Pelodiscus sinensis: one gene and its partner. The protein of the gene in region 1 purifies or fractionates together with the protein of each later gene. This does not show direct contact. Links are inferred from orthologs where the notes say so. Each region holds a gene or a part of one and is shown on either strand. Other genes may lie near its edges.

What was found. The genes of interacting proteins can lie anywhere in the genome.
Region 2: the proteins of GALNT16 (region 1) and SLC39A11 purify together in Homo sapiens (co-immunoprecipitation; 3 studies listed by BioGRID and IntAct, counting the BioPlex papers as one, with this or other methods). This does not show direct contact. The link is inferred for Pelodiscus sinensis from reciprocal best matches to the Homo sapiens genes GALNT16 and SLC39A11.

The regions. Positions count from the first base shown.
Region 1 is NC_134714.1:71,017,141-71,025,058, forward strand, and holds the start of GALNT16 (polypeptide N-acetylgalactosaminyltransferase 16), read right to left. Parts: upstream 3,396-7,918; 5' UTR 3,009-3,395; coding exon 2,817-3,008; intron 1-2,816. UniProt on the Homo sapiens protein: Catalyzes the initial reaction in O-linked oligosaccharide biosynthesis, the transfer of an N-acetyl-D-galactosamine residue to a serine or threonine residue on the protein receptor.
Region 2 is NC_134730.1:26,553,759-26,562,033, forward strand, and holds the start of SLC39A11 (zinc transporter ZIP11), read right to left. Parts: upstream 3,494-8,275; 5' UTR 3,305-3,493; intron 1,307-3,304; exon of another isoform or gene 1,180-1,306; intron 1-1,179. UniProt on the Homo sapiens protein: Zinc importer that regulates cytosolic zinc concentrations either via zinc influx from the extracellular compartment or efflux from intracellular organelles such as Golgi apparatus. May transport copper ions as well.

The DNA of each region.
Region 1 (7,918 bases):
CTGACTGCTAGTTCACATTCCATCACAGTAAAGTCCTGTTACTCTCTCACTGTGGTGCCAAATCAAGAGTAATGCCACTGCAGGAGCTCACATCAGCAAGAATACAGCATTTGATTGGCTGGACTCACAGAAGCAGAGTATTTTGGAAAGTACACTGTATATCTATTATATATTTGAGAGAGCTTTTCTGTCTGTTTGTTCTAGAAGTCCTCCTAAATGGTAAAATCAAGGACCACCAAATTCATTATGCAGCTTCCTTTCATCATAACTTAAAGGCAGGTAAGGGGTTGGTTGTTCCAGGAAAACAGGATGTGCCTGGAATGGGATTGCTTCTCATAAAACCATACAGAAAAGAGACGGAATCACCAGGCAGGTGAAAGGATCCGACTGTCCCCCCCTCGGGACTACTATAGCCCTAAGCTTCCCAACCTCCAGGAGCCCCATAGGGAGGGTGGGGAGGCTAACGCTCTCCTCCACACCAGATTCTTACAAGGACATTGGTGGCTGTTCCCCTTTGTCAGGGAGTGAGGAGAAAGTGCAGTTTGTTGCATTCCTCACACTGGCTGGGGAACACAGGGGGCAGATGAGATGTGCACTTTGCTCTGGAAGGGGAAGAGCAAGGAGCCCTTATACTAATCTTAGGTGGGGCTTCAGCCTCACACACACACACACACACACACACACACACACAATCACAATCCCAATCCCTGCCCTTGAGCCCCTCCTCACCTCCAACCCTAACTCCTGCACTCAAACCCACAGCTCCCAGCCCTGACCTCTCCTTAAGGACCCAAACAACACTGGTAAATATTTGAGACATGTGGTCACTTAGAAGATCCAACTGCTTCCATTCTCCTGCTTCCTTGTAGAAATGGATTGTTGCCAGGTTCAGGAAGGAGTATTGCATGTACAGCACTGTACTGCCAATCAGTTGCATTACAGGGGGGTTTCACCTTCCTCTCTCCCATTACCTATTGGCCACTATTGCAGACAAGAATATGGGATAGACCAGTATAACAGCAAATCCTATCATCTCAATTACAGAGGGGAAAGTGGAGGCAGAGTCTGTATTACCCCTCTGTATTAATGGGATTGGGATGGAAGTCCCAGTTAGACTGATCCATTCCTATTTTTAACGACAAAAATATTCTATGGTACTCCACTAATAATGCCTTAGTTTAACAATAATGACTCAAACTACTACAGCTTATCATCACACAATTTGTGTATGTCTATCAGCATGAACTCATACACACACTAGTAATATAATAATACTTGGCACTTCTACAGAATCTTCCTGCCGAGGATTTCAAGAGGCTCTGCAAACCTGAAGTCATGAAGCTACACAACCCCTCCATGAGGCAGCTAAGTACATATGATTTTTCTCATATGGGAGTAACTGAGATATTGTCCAAAGTTACAAAGCAAGCCATTAAGAAAAGCCAAGAATCCTGGTGCCTAGATTCCTGCTCTATTAGACCATGGTGCTTCTGTTCCTTCCAATGTCTGTGTAATCAGATCATTCATAGACAAATGCAAACAATAACGCATCTTCCAATTTTGAAGTGGTCTTGCCCAGGTTACCACTGAGAATGGGCTCAAAGAGTTTTTTATTTGGTTACTTGCATTATTTCTTACAATAAATAGTGGGCTTTTTTATTATTACCTTGCAGCCTGAAAGAGGAAAAAACCTTCTCCAATTGATAGAGCTGAATAGTTGTTCTCTCCCCTAATACAGGGAGAGCAGAAACTCTATTTGACCCCACTGCCAAACCCCTGCACATCCCCAGGAAAAGTGGAGGGCAGGTCTTTTTGTCACAGTGCCTTTCAAATGAGAGTCAGAAATCAAATAGGTGGGAAGCAGGGAGCCAGTCTGGATACAAGCAGGGATAAACAAAGGCTCCCTACTCCTCCTGTCTTCCTCTGAGATCAACTGAAATCTACCAGCAGAGAGCTTCCTCTGGCTTAATTCAGTTTTAACTTCCAAGCTCACATCCTGCGCTCTGGTCTTCTGTTAGGATGTACAACAACTAAGGGATGATGCAGCTGAGACCACCAAACCCGCCACATGGCAGTGTGGGTGTTGCAACATTATTCTCCCAACTCCCACAATCCTTCCCCAGCACGATCATGTAGCCCAGGACCCAAGAAACTGTTTTCTGCAAATGCAGACCCTTCTGGCCTTACTTAAAACATGCAGCTTGAACACAAACCAACAGATGTAATTGGGCATAAGCTTTTGTGAGTAAAACCCACTTTGTCAGATGCAATGGACAATCTGATGAAGTGGGCTTTACCCACAGAAGCCGATGCCCAAGTAAATCTGTTAGTCTCTAAGGTACCACTGGACTCCTTGTTGTTTTTACAGGGGCTACCCCTCTGAGACAAACCAACATGCCTTCCCGGCTGTTTCAGCCACCCCTTTCGTCCATCCAGAAAGGAAATGCAGCTCCCATCCAAAGAGGAACAGACCCTGGCCATCCAGTGGACGGGACTGCAAACACTTCACGTTCAGCAGGAGTCTGTTTCTCCAAGCCTTTGGATGGTGCTCCCCAATTGGAAACGCTGCCATGGTGACACGCCTGAGGGCTAAAACAAACATAAAGACACCCATGCAAATGGCACACCTCCCTCTAACGGACCCACCGCCCCCCATTCATTCACCAACCCCACCGATCTCCGACAAACGGGATGAATGCTCCTGCCAACACCTCACGCGGCAGCGGCAGCGGCACCACCACGCCACGCAATTTCTCTGCAAGGACAGGGGCTGGCGAATTAAAATGTAAGCCGCTCTCCCGGCGCGTCTCACTCACAATGAGGGGGATGGTCCCATCTTCCCTGCGGCTCTCCAGCCGCGCAGCTGATCTCTGCCCGCTCCTGCCGCTGCCGGGGGATCTGCTGGATGCTGCTGAATGAGGCTTGTTGTCCTGCCATAAGTAATAGAAAGTGCCCAGGATCCAGGCGACCGTCAGGATCGCAATGGCATTAGCCCTGATCCGCCTCATCCCGAAAGCCCCAGTGGCGCCTGGGAGCCTGGAGAGGAGGTTTCCAGGGGGTCAGAGGAGCAAAGGCTCAGCAGGACTCTGTGCAAGGGAGGTGGGGGGAGGCTGCTGGGGGAGCGGTGATGGGATTCTCTCTCGCGCGCTCTCTGGCCGGCTCTTACAGCCACAGCTGTTTGTTTTAGCTCTGGTCTCACTGCTCAGTCCTGCAGAGCGAAAAAAAAAGGAGCGAGATCCTCAGGGTCCTAATGCCCTTTCTTCCACAGCGGCCGCAGATGGGCCCGTCCGTCTCCAGGCCCCGGGCCAGCCGCGCATTGGCACGGTGGCATCTGTGGCGGGAACGTGTGTAGGGGGGAGATCTAACGCAGCTTCTCCATCTCCAGTTTCTGTAACTTGCTCCCCAAGTGCCTCTGGCCAGCGGCTGCGGTAGGAGGTTTTATTTTAGTTCTGGTGTTTCAGGGGCCCTGAGGGCTAAGGGTTGATGGCAGAGAAGAGCGAGTGGGGGGTTAGCTCTGCATTTAGGGGTGTTGGATGGTGCCGTGGGACTTGAGTGGCACAACATTCATGTCAGGTAACAATCAGCTGGAGAGATGGTGCCTGGGATCCATTTCAAACAGGCCACAACACATTTACCTGAAACCATCCCATGTGAACAGCTTGCAGAGCAAAAGACTCTGTCTCTCCTGGTCTGTTGGCCCCACTGAAAAGAAGAGAACTAAGCTAATGTCAAATAAGCTACTGATCTGACCTGGTTACCAATGGCATGCCTCTGCCTTAGGTACTTTTGGCATGCAGCTGTGCAGTCAGTGAGGCACACTCTGAGTCAATGCTGCCTGAGCACACGCCCAGCATGACAATAGGGGATGCTTGGCAGCTGGACATGCTGGCTTTCAGCTGCCTGAGACATGAACCCAAAGTCTTAACCTTGTGGTCTTAAGAGTTCCGTTATTCTTGCAGGGACATTCAGTCCCCACATCTGGTCAGATTCCACTGTGGACAGTTACACTCTGCCTTCTTAAATGCCCCTTTCAGTTTCAGCAGAGTCGGGATCCAATATTCTTCAGCCTGCGTGCTAGAGCAGAGAGTGGTGGTGTGCCCTGTTGGACAGCGCTGCTGTACCATCTTTGACAGAGTTGCATTGCTAGATCCTGCACTGCAGTTTCAAGTGGCAAACAGGGAATTTCCTCTATTTGCCATGGCTCAAGATCTGAGCTCTGTGAACCCAGATCATTCTTTCACTGATTATCAGAAATGGGTTTAAGGATTGTGCTATTCATGCTGTTTTTATAATATGGAAGAATATTCTTAAGCTTCTGCCCAAGGTACTAGATGGTCTTCTTTGGCAGCAAATTAATAACTCCCAGGTACTTGAGCCCTTCAGGAGTGCCCTTTATTGATTGTGATATGAACTCTTCAAGGCACAAGATGAGGCAGGAAAGTTTATGTCCTCCGAGGGATTAATAAAGGCACAATATGGTCCAGACTACAAGCCAGATCCCTCCTTCCCTGGAAAGTACACAGACAATGAGTTTAGTAGAGTTTCACTGGAAGACATGAGTGGGCCATAGGTTTGGAAGCTGTACCTCCTCCTCTCAGATCCTTGCATAGTAAACAGAAGCCATTTTGCAGGAAAGGCTACTAATCTTTCTAACCATGACTTTGCCAGGTTCCATCTTGGCTTGCTCTTCTGGCTGGCAGCATGTCTAGTGAAAAGCCAGACACCACAATACTGACTGGGGGGAGTGGGTGTCTGGAACTGGAGAAAGCCATCCAACCAAATATTCCTGTCCTGGTTTAATTTAGGTTGATTGAGCTTTCCTGCTTTTTCCAAGAACACTGCTTATCCACTACCTAGAAACAAATAATTTAGAGCTTTCCCAGGAACTGATTTCTTATGCCAATTATCAGTTAAATTGAACAACTCCCAGGGAACCTCTGTACACCTGATTCCTCATTTCCACATCTCCAGCATTTGACCCTCTCCAAACAGAGACCTCTCTGCTCTATCCATTTCTTTCCTAATGGCAAACCCTTCCATTAGGTTAGCCCAACGTCTTCTCTTTTCTACCCAGAATAAACCCAACTTCATGAATCTCTCCATTATATTGATTCTTCAGTGGCACTATCAGCTTAACACTAATCTCCTTTGCATGGCAATAATCTCCACCCGCTGAAAGATACCCTGCCTTGTATTCCATATGTAAGAGGATCTATGAAGGTTGTATGCAGTCGCAGTATCACCACTTACATTTTGCCATTACACTCTAGCTGCTTGCCATCTGTCAATGAAATGTAGTACTTTGTTTATTATTAAAATACCCATTAGGGATGTTGGATATCAATTAATTGAATAATCGTGTAACACTGTCAAAACTTAGCACTCCCAACCTCACTCCTGGGGAGCCCCCTGCCATCCCACACTGCTGTCTCTGTCTCAGAGGCAGCAGCGTGGGGTGGCAGGCTGGAGCCAGTCCATGAGTGGTTTAAAAAACCAGCTCCAGACACAGATTAGCTCCCACCTGCCACCCCCCGCTGCTGCCTCTGAGACAGAAGCAGCAGCGCAGGATGGCAGCAGCTTCTCTCTGGGGGGGGGGGGCGAGCTCCCTGTGGATAGAAGCTGCACCGGCATCCCACGAAGCAGCCTCTGTGGTAAGCCTGGGCCCGCCACAGACAGAGGCTGCTCCATGGCAGCGTCCCCTGCCCCCTCTCCCATGTTGCTGCCTCTGATAGAGGCAGCAGCATGGCGGGCAAGTGGCTTCACGAAGCTGGCATGTGCAGAGACCCAGCTTGAAAGCTGGCTCCCCACATGTGCTGGCTCCTGCCTGCCCACCTCACCCTCCACACTGCTGCCTCTCTATCAGAGGCAGTAGTGTGGGAAGGCAGGGGACAGGCAGCTCCACAAGATCAGGTGCTTGTGGGGAGTCAGCTCAAAAGCCGGCTCCCCATGTGCAGTGGCTCCTGCCTCCCGGCCCCCTTGCTGCCTCTGATCCAGAGGCAGCAAGAGGAAGGGAGTGTATGAGTCATTAAGATTAACCAATAAGCCCAGGCTTACTGGCTAATTGTGTAGTAGACTACACATTTACATCTCTAATACCCATTAGTTTTTTTTTGTTTTTTTTTTTTTATATAAAGAATCCCACATCGATTCTCTTTTGACTTGCCTAGCCATCTATACCTGAACTGAATGAGTATAAAATGCTCCCAGCTGGGTAAGTGAATAGAAAATTCTAATCTGGTTGGGTTTTATACAGCTGTGAAAGAGACAGTCAAGAGTTAGACCTGTTTTTACTAAGAATTAACAACTGCACAATAAATGACTGAGTTGTACATGCTGCAGATGGGATTAGTGACAGTAGGGTACAGGCCATCCAGTTAAAGCTGCAGCTGGTTCAAGAACACTATTGAGTTATCTTCGGAAGCAACCACACTTTGCACAAAGTCTGGGAATCTGATCGTGTTGCCAGCACACATTATTGGTTACTAATGAGTTCCTTTTATTAAAGGGACTCTCTCCAGCTGAAGGCAGGAGGACAGCAGCAATAAAAATCCTGAAATGCACACACCATGTAATTCTTAAGACTGTCTCCAGTATAGATCATTTCAGTGGGTGACGGGAAGGAGATGAATGTTCCATCACAGTTCCGGGGTAACTACATGTGTCTTGCCTCTTGCTGGCTCGCTGCAAGAGTATCCTGTCAGGTCTCAAATCTCCAGCCATCACTAGTCTTTGGGTAGAGTCCTTGGGTCAGTCTTTTCTGACCAGGGGTTTAGAGGCTCCACAGCCCCCTGTCTCATGCTGTGATATCTTCAGCAAGCCAGTCTAATGGCCAGTGCCTGTGTGTTGTTTTCTCTCTGCAGGCTATCGCCAGTGCATTGCCAGAAGTTACAAGTGACCGTTCAGCTTTTTCTACATAAGCACATTTATTCCCTAGGTAAAAGCATTACAAAAAATAAAACAGACTTAAATACTCACAAAACATGCTAGGAGTCACTCTCCAGTCTGATGGGCCCCTAATAGACCAAAGTCTTTCCAACCATTCTATAACAACTGCTCCTGCCCTTAACAGTAGGTCCTGTTTGCTGGATCAGAAAGAAGACCCTCAGCCAGTTCAAACTTAGCCCTTTTATACCAAAAGCCTTTTCTCTGCCTGAGTCTCTGGAAAAACCAACCGGAACCAGCAAATGCAAACACCCTGGTGGGAGAGAGGGAGCTCCTCTGGAGTTGTTTACAATCCCCACAGGTAATCACCACTCCCCACACCCCAGTTTTATTTCCTGGAGGAGCTGCGATAACCTTCCCCCATGCAGTAGAACACAGTGGTGTAAAAACCATTCTTACAGTTAATACACTGGTCCCAAAGATGCTACATGGGGCTGTAATACCTGCCACAGCTTTACCTGCAGAAGATATGAGATGTTACCTCAGGAAAGGATCTGTGAGTGCTATTATTAGTCAATGAAACCAGGATAAATAAAGGTACTCAGGTGCCTAGGTTCAGAACCCTTGCTTCCAGTTTTATGCTCCACTGTGATCCACAAAACTCCCACTGTAGCCTGGCAGTGTCTAAACTCACTCAACAGCTATGTTTTCAGGGTAATAGTTCTTGCTGCACCCAAGTTTGTGCTTTTGAGCTTTCACTCTACTGCCTCCCTCCTGCCTAACCCCAGAGTGATTCACAGCCTGCAGAGATGGGGCATTTAGCCATCTGTCTCATGTGGGGCCTGATCTGGTAGGCATACTCAGAGGCCACGTACCAAAAGGTCCCATTCAAAACCTGGTCAGAGGAGGTGCCCACCTTAAAACTTTTAGCCTTTGTGAGAGAGCTAAGTACAATTCCCCCACTTTTCTTGATGGGGAGAAAAGATTTAAACTAATGTCTCCGCCAACCATCACCCTATAGGACAGTCTGCTGTAA
Region 2 (8,275 bases), on another chromosome or scaffold:
TAAGCCGGGCGCCGCCATTTTTAAATCCCGGCTAGTTCGAACCCCGTGCCGCGCGGCTACATGCGGCACGGACTAGGTAGTTCGGACTAGGCTTCCTAGTCCGAACTACCGTTACTCCTCGTAGCCGCCCGGCACGGGGTTCGAACTAGCCGGGATTTAAAAATGGCGGCGCCCGGCTTATGCAAATGAAGCCCGGGAAATTCAAATCCCGGGCTTCATTTGCAAGTGCGGTATGCCTACATTACCCTCCTAGTTCAAATTAGGAGGGTAGTGTAGACATACCCTTAGTCTGGTGAGAGCTTTTTGAAGCTCTTCCCAGTCTGCTATGGTCTTAACTATCTTGAGCAGTTTGGTGTCATCTGCAAATTTTGCCACCTCCCTGTTTGCCCCTTTCTCTAGATCATTTATAAATAAGTTGAATAGGACTAAATAGGACAGACTTTGGGGGACCCCACTAGTTACCTCTCTCCACTCTGAAAACTGACCATTTATTCCTACCCTTTGTCTCCTGTCTTTTAATGAGTTATCAATCCATGAGAAGACCTTCCCTCTTATCCCATGACAACTTACTTTACTTAAGAGCCTTTGGTGAGGGACCTTGTCAAAGGCTTTCTGGAAATCTAAGTGCACTATATCCCCCTTGTCCACATGTTTGTTGACCCCCACAAAGAACTCTAGCAGATTAGTAAGGGACAAGCGCACGAGCACACAGTTTACAGAGGCCACTGCCAGACCGTACTGTAAGGGAGACTGGGGGTTGGACTGAGGAGCCCTGGATGTAGAGTCCAAGACCGGAATGGGAGGGTGTGCTGGGGAGAGGCAGGAATGAGAGGACTCAGCAGAGAGATGGGTGGGAAAGGGCTTGAACCCCTATCTCTGTGTTGTGTCTAGCTCTAACTGGCATGTCACACAAAGAAACCACAAAACCTTTTCCCTAACTATAAGGAGAGGATTAAAATTGCAGCTCACCTTTCCAGTAGCCAAGCTGGGGACCTGCACGGCGCCTTTAACAATAGCTCTGATTAAAATTAACATAACTCTGCCTTTCTCCTGGCATGGAAAATAGCCTCAGGCCAAGAGGTGCTTTATTACATTTCAGGCTGGGTGTTTAGCTTTTCCATGCCATTTTTCTCCACCTTGGACTTTATGTCCAAACAAAGGGGCCGATTCGATTCCCAGCTCATGTGCACTGGTGTAAATCCAGAGTAACCCTACAGCCATGGATCAAGGGAGCTGCTCCAGACAGATGCCTGAGTCCCTGCGATCAGAACCTGGCCCTAAGAAAAGCTATTTTCGGAGAACTAACGTAAGTGATCCCACGGTTTGTATGTTACAGGCTCAATAACACATTAATTCTGCTGTGTGCGGGGTGCGACGCTCGCGAACCAGGCCTGTCTATCAGGCAGAGAAGCAAATGCAAAGTTGTTCCTGTCCCAATCAGTGGCATAATTGACTAGCTGGAACCACGTGGCCAACACAATTATGTTGCAAATTGAACCGAAGCCGGGGTATGCTGCTAAAGGGAGCTCTCGAGTGCAGCGGAAGGCAAAGCAGAGCTGCGTCTGAGCTATAGACGGAGAGGAGGAGGACGTGCAGACAGCAATCCGGTTACAGGAGACAGAGAGGGCAGCACACGACTAGGCATTCGTGAGAGATGAAATGATACAGTCATCATTACCAGCAGTAGCTTTATCTGCACTAGCATGCGGCTGGCATGGCAGGGCCAGCTGAGTGTGCCAGTTGGGCAAGAGAGGATGCTGGGGAGGGGCCCCCACATTCCCCATAAAACTCTTCTACTGGGAGAACATGGAGAAAGCTGCAAAAACAACGAGGAGTCCTTTGGCACCTTAGCAGATTTATTAGAGCATCAGCTTTCACGGATAAAACCCACTTCCTCAGATGAACTGAAGTGGAGTTTACAGAGGCAGGGGGATAGATACAGACAAGAAAAGAAAGGGGGTGCTTGTATAAATGAGGCTAATCAAGGCAGGGTGGAAGTGGCTCACTCACAGCACTGATGTGGAAACGTGGATATCAAAAGAGGGGGAAATTGCCTTTGTACTGCGTTAAGCAGTTAAGATCCCTATTCAATCCTAACTTGATAGTCTTGAATTTGCAAAGGAATTCTAGGTCAGCCGTCTCCCTTTGTAAGCAGTTTCTGAAATTCTTTTGTAGAAGGATGGCTATCTTCATATCCACTACTGAATGTCCCCCTATAGGTTTCAGGGTGTTATCATTTTTCGGCAGAGGCTGTCCAGTCTGGCCAACAGACATGGCAGAGAGGCATTGCTGGCACATATCACATTAGTGGACGTGCAGGTGGATGAGCCCTTGATGATGTGAGGAACTCAGTGTCTATAGAACCTCAGTCCCTGCTTCATTACTCCCCGTTACGGCATCAGCCCCTGGCTTGGGCTTGGCTGTGCTAGAAAGCGACAGGGCTTTGGCGAAACGGTTTAGTTAAATTGGTACAAATCTCTTAGGGTGCATGTAGACTACATTCCTCTTTCAAAAGAGGAATGCAAATGAAGGAAATCGAAAATGCAAATGAAGCGCTGATTTACAAATCTCGTGCTTCATTTGCATAATCTCGTCCAATCGCTTTTTCAGAAGAGATTTTTTTCCCAAAAAAAAAAACTAGTTTAGACGGGATTCTTTAAAAAAACAAACCTCTTTCAAAAGAATCCTTATTCCTGAAAAAATGAGGTTTACAGAGTTCTTTTGAAAAAGTGGTAGTTTTTGAAAGAACCATGTCTAAATTGTTTTTTTTTAAATCTCTTCCGAAAAAGCGATCAGACGAGATTATTCAAATGAAGCGCGAGATTTGTAAATCAGCGCTTCATTTGCATTTTCGATTTCCCTCATTTGCATTCCTTTTTCGAAAGAGGAATGTGGCCTAGACACACTCTGACGCAGGTAAACAGGCGCACCTCTCAGGGCCACTAGGCAGCTGCCAACACGTGTGAAGGCAAGAGGGGGAAAGGTTAAAGCCGCGTACACACACCTGCATTAGAGACGTGTACGAGTTTAGCTCCAGGGCAGAGCCCTGCTCACCCGGTACGCTGCTGTTCGCGAGTCATTGCTAGAATTACCTTCTCCTGCTGGGAGGATTATTGTGCGCAGTACAATAGCACTTTAGAGGCCCCAGCCAAGATCCAGGGCCATTGTGAAAGATGCTGTTTTATGGGGAAACTGAGGCACGGGGCAACTAAGAGCCAGATTCTCTGCTGGTGTAAACCAGAATCGCGTCATTAACATGGAAGTGTTTTGCTCAGGTTTACATGGGAAGCCAGATGTGTCTTACCTCCCTCTGAGACAAGCCCTTGAGAGCCCGAAAGGCTCGGCCCCTTGGCTCCTGGCTCACTCTCCATGTTGAGGCTGCAGGGATGAGACTGGCTGGGGATAAAGCTTCTTCCTGCCATGAGGGAGGCAATCCAGCCTGGTGACGTGGCTTGTACCCCTTGTCCCTCTTCGCCCTCGTTCTGACGGGCAGGCTCCGTCCTGCCCGGCCAGGCCAGGCCTGGGACCCGGTGTGGGAGGGAAAAGGGGAAACTTGGAATCTCTGTGGATCAATCCCTCCTGCATAAACAAGAATCTCAGAGCGATGACCCAGCATTTCTGCTGTCAATAATTAACAAGGGCAAGAGCAGCGAGAGCCACGGAAGGGACCACCCGACCGGCCAGTCACAGCAGAAGGGGAGCAGCAGGCCTGGCTGAGACGCACCCTGCCTGCATAGGGATTTCCATACCCAGCAACAGGCCAGCGCGCCGGTAAGCTCTGCTCCAGGGGAGCACATTCCATTTGCTAGTTTCACTGCTCCGCTCTTCCAGAAACCCTCCCTCTCCAGTCAGTGTCCCTACCTGCCACAGTGCGGAGGTGGGTTTGGACAGGGGCAGGGCCTTGGTAAAAGGGTCGGGGAAGGAGGCGAGCCCAGGGCGTTTGGGTCTGAGCTAGATCCTGGGTTGCGCTTACATTCAAAAAGGGACCAAATGAAAGTAATGGGCAGCAGGTTTAAAATGAATAAAAGGAAGTTCTTCTCACAGCGCAGTCAACCTGTGGAACTCCTTGCCTGAGGAGGTTGTGAAGGACTATAACAGGGTTTAAAAGAGAACTAGGTAAATTCATGGAGGTTAAGGCCATTAATGGCTATTAGGCAGGATGGGTAAGGACTGGTGTCCCTAGCCTCTGTTTGTCAGAGGGTGGAGATGGATGGCAGGAGAGAGATGGCTTGATCATTCCCTGTTCTGTTCCCTCTCTCTGGGGCACCTGGCATTGGACACTGTGGGTACTGGGGTGGATGGACCTTGGGTCTGACCCAGTCTGGCCGTTCTGATGTTTTTATGACCTTGTGCTTAAAAAGGTTGGCCACCACTAGCTGAGACTAAAGCTTTCCATCCCTCTGGAGGCTCGGCTGCCTGCCGTAGGCTGAAAGCAGAAGAGACCAGCCTGCCCCCAAACGCCCAGGGCCCCTGCAATGCCAGGGAGCTGATTAGGTGAGACATGCTCCCAGCTGGTGAACTACACCCAGGGGCAGCCTGTGACTATAGGCCGACTCGGCCGTCGCCTTCAACGGCACCCAATGATGACATCACGGGGCACCCGGGGCGCCCGATGATGACATCACTCCATTGACAGCTGTGCAGGCGGGGGCGCTAATTGTGCGTTCCGCCTGGGGCGCCAGCTGCCGCAGCCTGCCTCGGACCACTCCTGACTACACCCCGCGCTGCGGGAAAAATCCCAATGTCACAGCCAATCTGACGTGCGGAAAATTCCTCCCTGACACCAAACGGGTTGGGTCCGGTGTGCACACCCCACACTAGGCCGGGGGGGGGAGGGTACAGAGGAAGTCCCGCCCCCTCCCCAGCCGTACTGGGCATGCTCGAAGTGCTGGGCCAATATAAAAGGAAGCAACTCAGCTCCGTCTGGAGTGGATGCTGGAGAGGAAGGACTTGAGGCGGGAGCTTCAGCTGAGAATAAGCCACAGAGCTTGTGGGAGGAGGTAGGAGCCCCGAGGACCGAAATAAGCCGCCACAGCTGATGGAGCACCAAGGAGTGACTGATGTTGAGGAACCTGAAGATCCCGAAGCTTCGTGGGCAGCCACGCCACAGAGTACCATAAGAAATGATCCAGGGAGGGGCCGCAAATGGTATCTCCCACCTGCTGTTTCGGTGAGATTCCCCGCTGAGCCAGTGGTGGACTGATCAGCCACTGCCAGGGAGTAGTGGAGTCAGGTGGGCCCAAGCCCTTCTATAATGGGCCACTAGACCTTCCCTGTTGGTGGCCCTTTTGGTACTGGCTATTAGGCTACACTGCCCTGTAGTGAAGAGCTGTTCGTTGACTCTAGCTATTAGGCCATGCTGCCTTGGACGATGGGTCTGGTGCCTTTGCCCTAGACCTAGGACCATGGGATGGGTGAGGTCTGAGATCACCCCCCGGTTGTAACTGCGATGTTGACACATATCCTCCTCCCACCCCCTTGGGGGACGCAGTGTGCAGACACTGTGACCCTAGGCATGTGAGCACGACACATCAGCCAGGCATCAGAGACAGAGGAGTTTTGTACCAGCTCGGAGCCCCCATCTGTCCTGTCTGGTGTCCCATCTCCAGCAACGGCCAGTCATGGCCAAGCATTGGTGCGAGTTCTTGGGCTATTACCCCGACTCCGCCCTCTAGGTCTGTCTCCCCATCCGCCAGACACAATAATCCCGATCTGCTTCTTGGGAGGAGCAGGCCTAAGGCTTTGTTAGTTCTTGCACGACGTGTTACGCTCCTCCGGAGACAGCTGTCGCAGAAGAGAAAAGTATCTTTTCCCAAACACCAGCGGTATCTTGTCCCAAAGGGAGAGAACCCTCCTCCGCTTTGTGTTGTTGACACAACACAGGTCTGAATCCAGAGTCTGCTCCAGTTTCCTGCAAAGCATGTGAGATTTCCCCAGCTTTGCCACACTGGTGTCACTGTCGCTTTGGTTTTTGAAACCTACGCCATAATGCCATGCATCGTGAGAGTAGCATCAACTCTCCTTCCCAGCATTGGTAATGTTTGTCCGAAATGCAAACCGTTACCCCCATGGGGAGCCAAGCGGCTAAACGCTCAAGAAATGTGCTGGCTAATGCCAAGCGATACTCTGTTAATTAAGGATCAGAGGGGTGGCCGTGTTAGTCTGAATCTGCAAAAGCGGCGAGGAGTCCTGTGGCACCTTAGAGACTAACTGAAGTGTAGGAGCATAAGATGCATCTGACGAAGTGGGTCTTTGCCCAAGAAAGCTTATGCTCCTACACTTCAGTTAGTCTCTATGGGTATGTCTAGACTACAGGGTTTTGTCGACAGAAGTTTTGTCAACAGATACAGTCAACAAAGCTTCTGTCAACAAAAAGCATCTAGACTGCAGCCAGTTCTGTCGACAAAGCAAGCTGCTTTGTCGACATAACAGTGTGGACGCAAAGGACAGTGTAGATGCAATAATGCCTTCTATCGACAGAACTCTGTCAACAAAAGGCGTTATTCCTCGTAGAATGAGGTTTACATACGTCGACAAAACTGCTGAGTTTTGTCGACGTTATGTCGACATAACTCAAAGGCAGTGTGGACACAGGTATAGTTTTGCCGACAAAAGTCCACTTTTGTCGACAAAACCCTGTAGTCTAGACACACCCTAAGGTGCCACAGAACTCCTCGCCGCTTTTGTTAATTAATAGGGAGCCTGCAACACACAATGGGCCCCAGTCTCAATGACACCAAAGGAAAACAGCAACTCGGGGCCCCTGATGAGAAAACAAGAGGAGAATCCAGAGCATTCATGATGTTGATAAAAGGAAAACACTTCTGTTTCCAGCTGGCAACTTCCCCTGAAAGCTTGTTGTGCTTTGGCCTTGGCCGGCGCTAGAGTAGTACAAAGAAAAGCGAAGCCCACAATGAGAAAACTAGAGTGAGCAGATGTCCTGATTTTATCAGGACAGTCCTGATATCTGGGGCTTTATCTCATATAGGCACCTATTATCCCCTCCACCCACACACACACCACAGCCCAAATTTTCACTGTCTGGTCACCTTAACTTTCCAGATGCCACATCAGTCACAACATCTGCACCTCCTCTAATGTGATGTTTGCCATCAAGTGCCAACAAGGCCTTTCTGCCATGACTATTGGCCAAACCGGACAGTCTCTGCGCCAAAGGATAAATGGACACACATCGGACATCAGGAATGGCAACACCCACAAACCTGACGGGGAACATGTCAACCTGCCTGGTCAATCAGTCATGGATTTAAAAGTAGCCATGCTCCTCCAAAGGAATTTCACCTCCCAGTTACAGAGACAGAGCAGAATTCATCTGCAAATTTGACACTATTTCCCTGGGCTTGAACAAAGATATTAACTGGATGTTGCATAATAAAGCCAGTCTCCCCTGCCTTTCACTCCTCATTTTCACATCAAATCAAAGTATGGGACACTTCCAGCCCACTTAATTAGCCTCATTAGCCCCGGTCCTACAATGACAGGTACCTATTTCCCCCTTCTTTGTGTTATAAATTCTATACATTTGTGTTATCCCTTTCCAGCTCCTCTGAAGAAGTGGGTTTTGCCCACAAAAGCTCGTGATACTACCTACTTTGTGTTAGTCTCTATGGTGTTCCAGGATGGCTCGTTCTTTCCAGCTAGACCATCCAAGAGTTCAAACGGCCAGAGCGAAATATTGGCCCTAACAGAATCAGTGGCAACTTTCTGTTGTTTCCCAGGGAGGCCAGGATTTCACCGCATGTCAGTTCCCCAGTGTAACTTCATCAAGGGAGAAAACCAGCACAGAAAAGTCTGAACAATACGACCAGCTGAGCTACTGTCAAACCAGCTCGCCAACAGGCGGAGCCCCAGTTGGCAAAGACATTCTGGCCAAATGTGCCAACGCGGCCTTTAAGTTTTGGGTGTCTCTATTTTTTGGAAGCCAGTCGTCTTCGCTGTCAGACGCCCCCTCCTGTGCATTTCTCCCACCGGTTTTACTGCTCACAAAATCAGCAAGGCAACTGGATCGGACTGTACGACCCCCTCTTGATTCCTCCGCCTGTAGCGGTCCCCTCAGGGGACACCCTGAGTACTTATTCACCCGTTGTTCTAATGGTCCCCACGGGATTTTGACTTTGCGTATAGAACGGGCTGCAGGGGCGGGCAAATTCAGAACAGCCCATGTACTCTGAACTAGCATCCCCACCGATTGATAGGATCTGCTCTGATGCTGGGTTAGACATCAGCCTTACATCTTCACAGGTCCTAAAAGAGC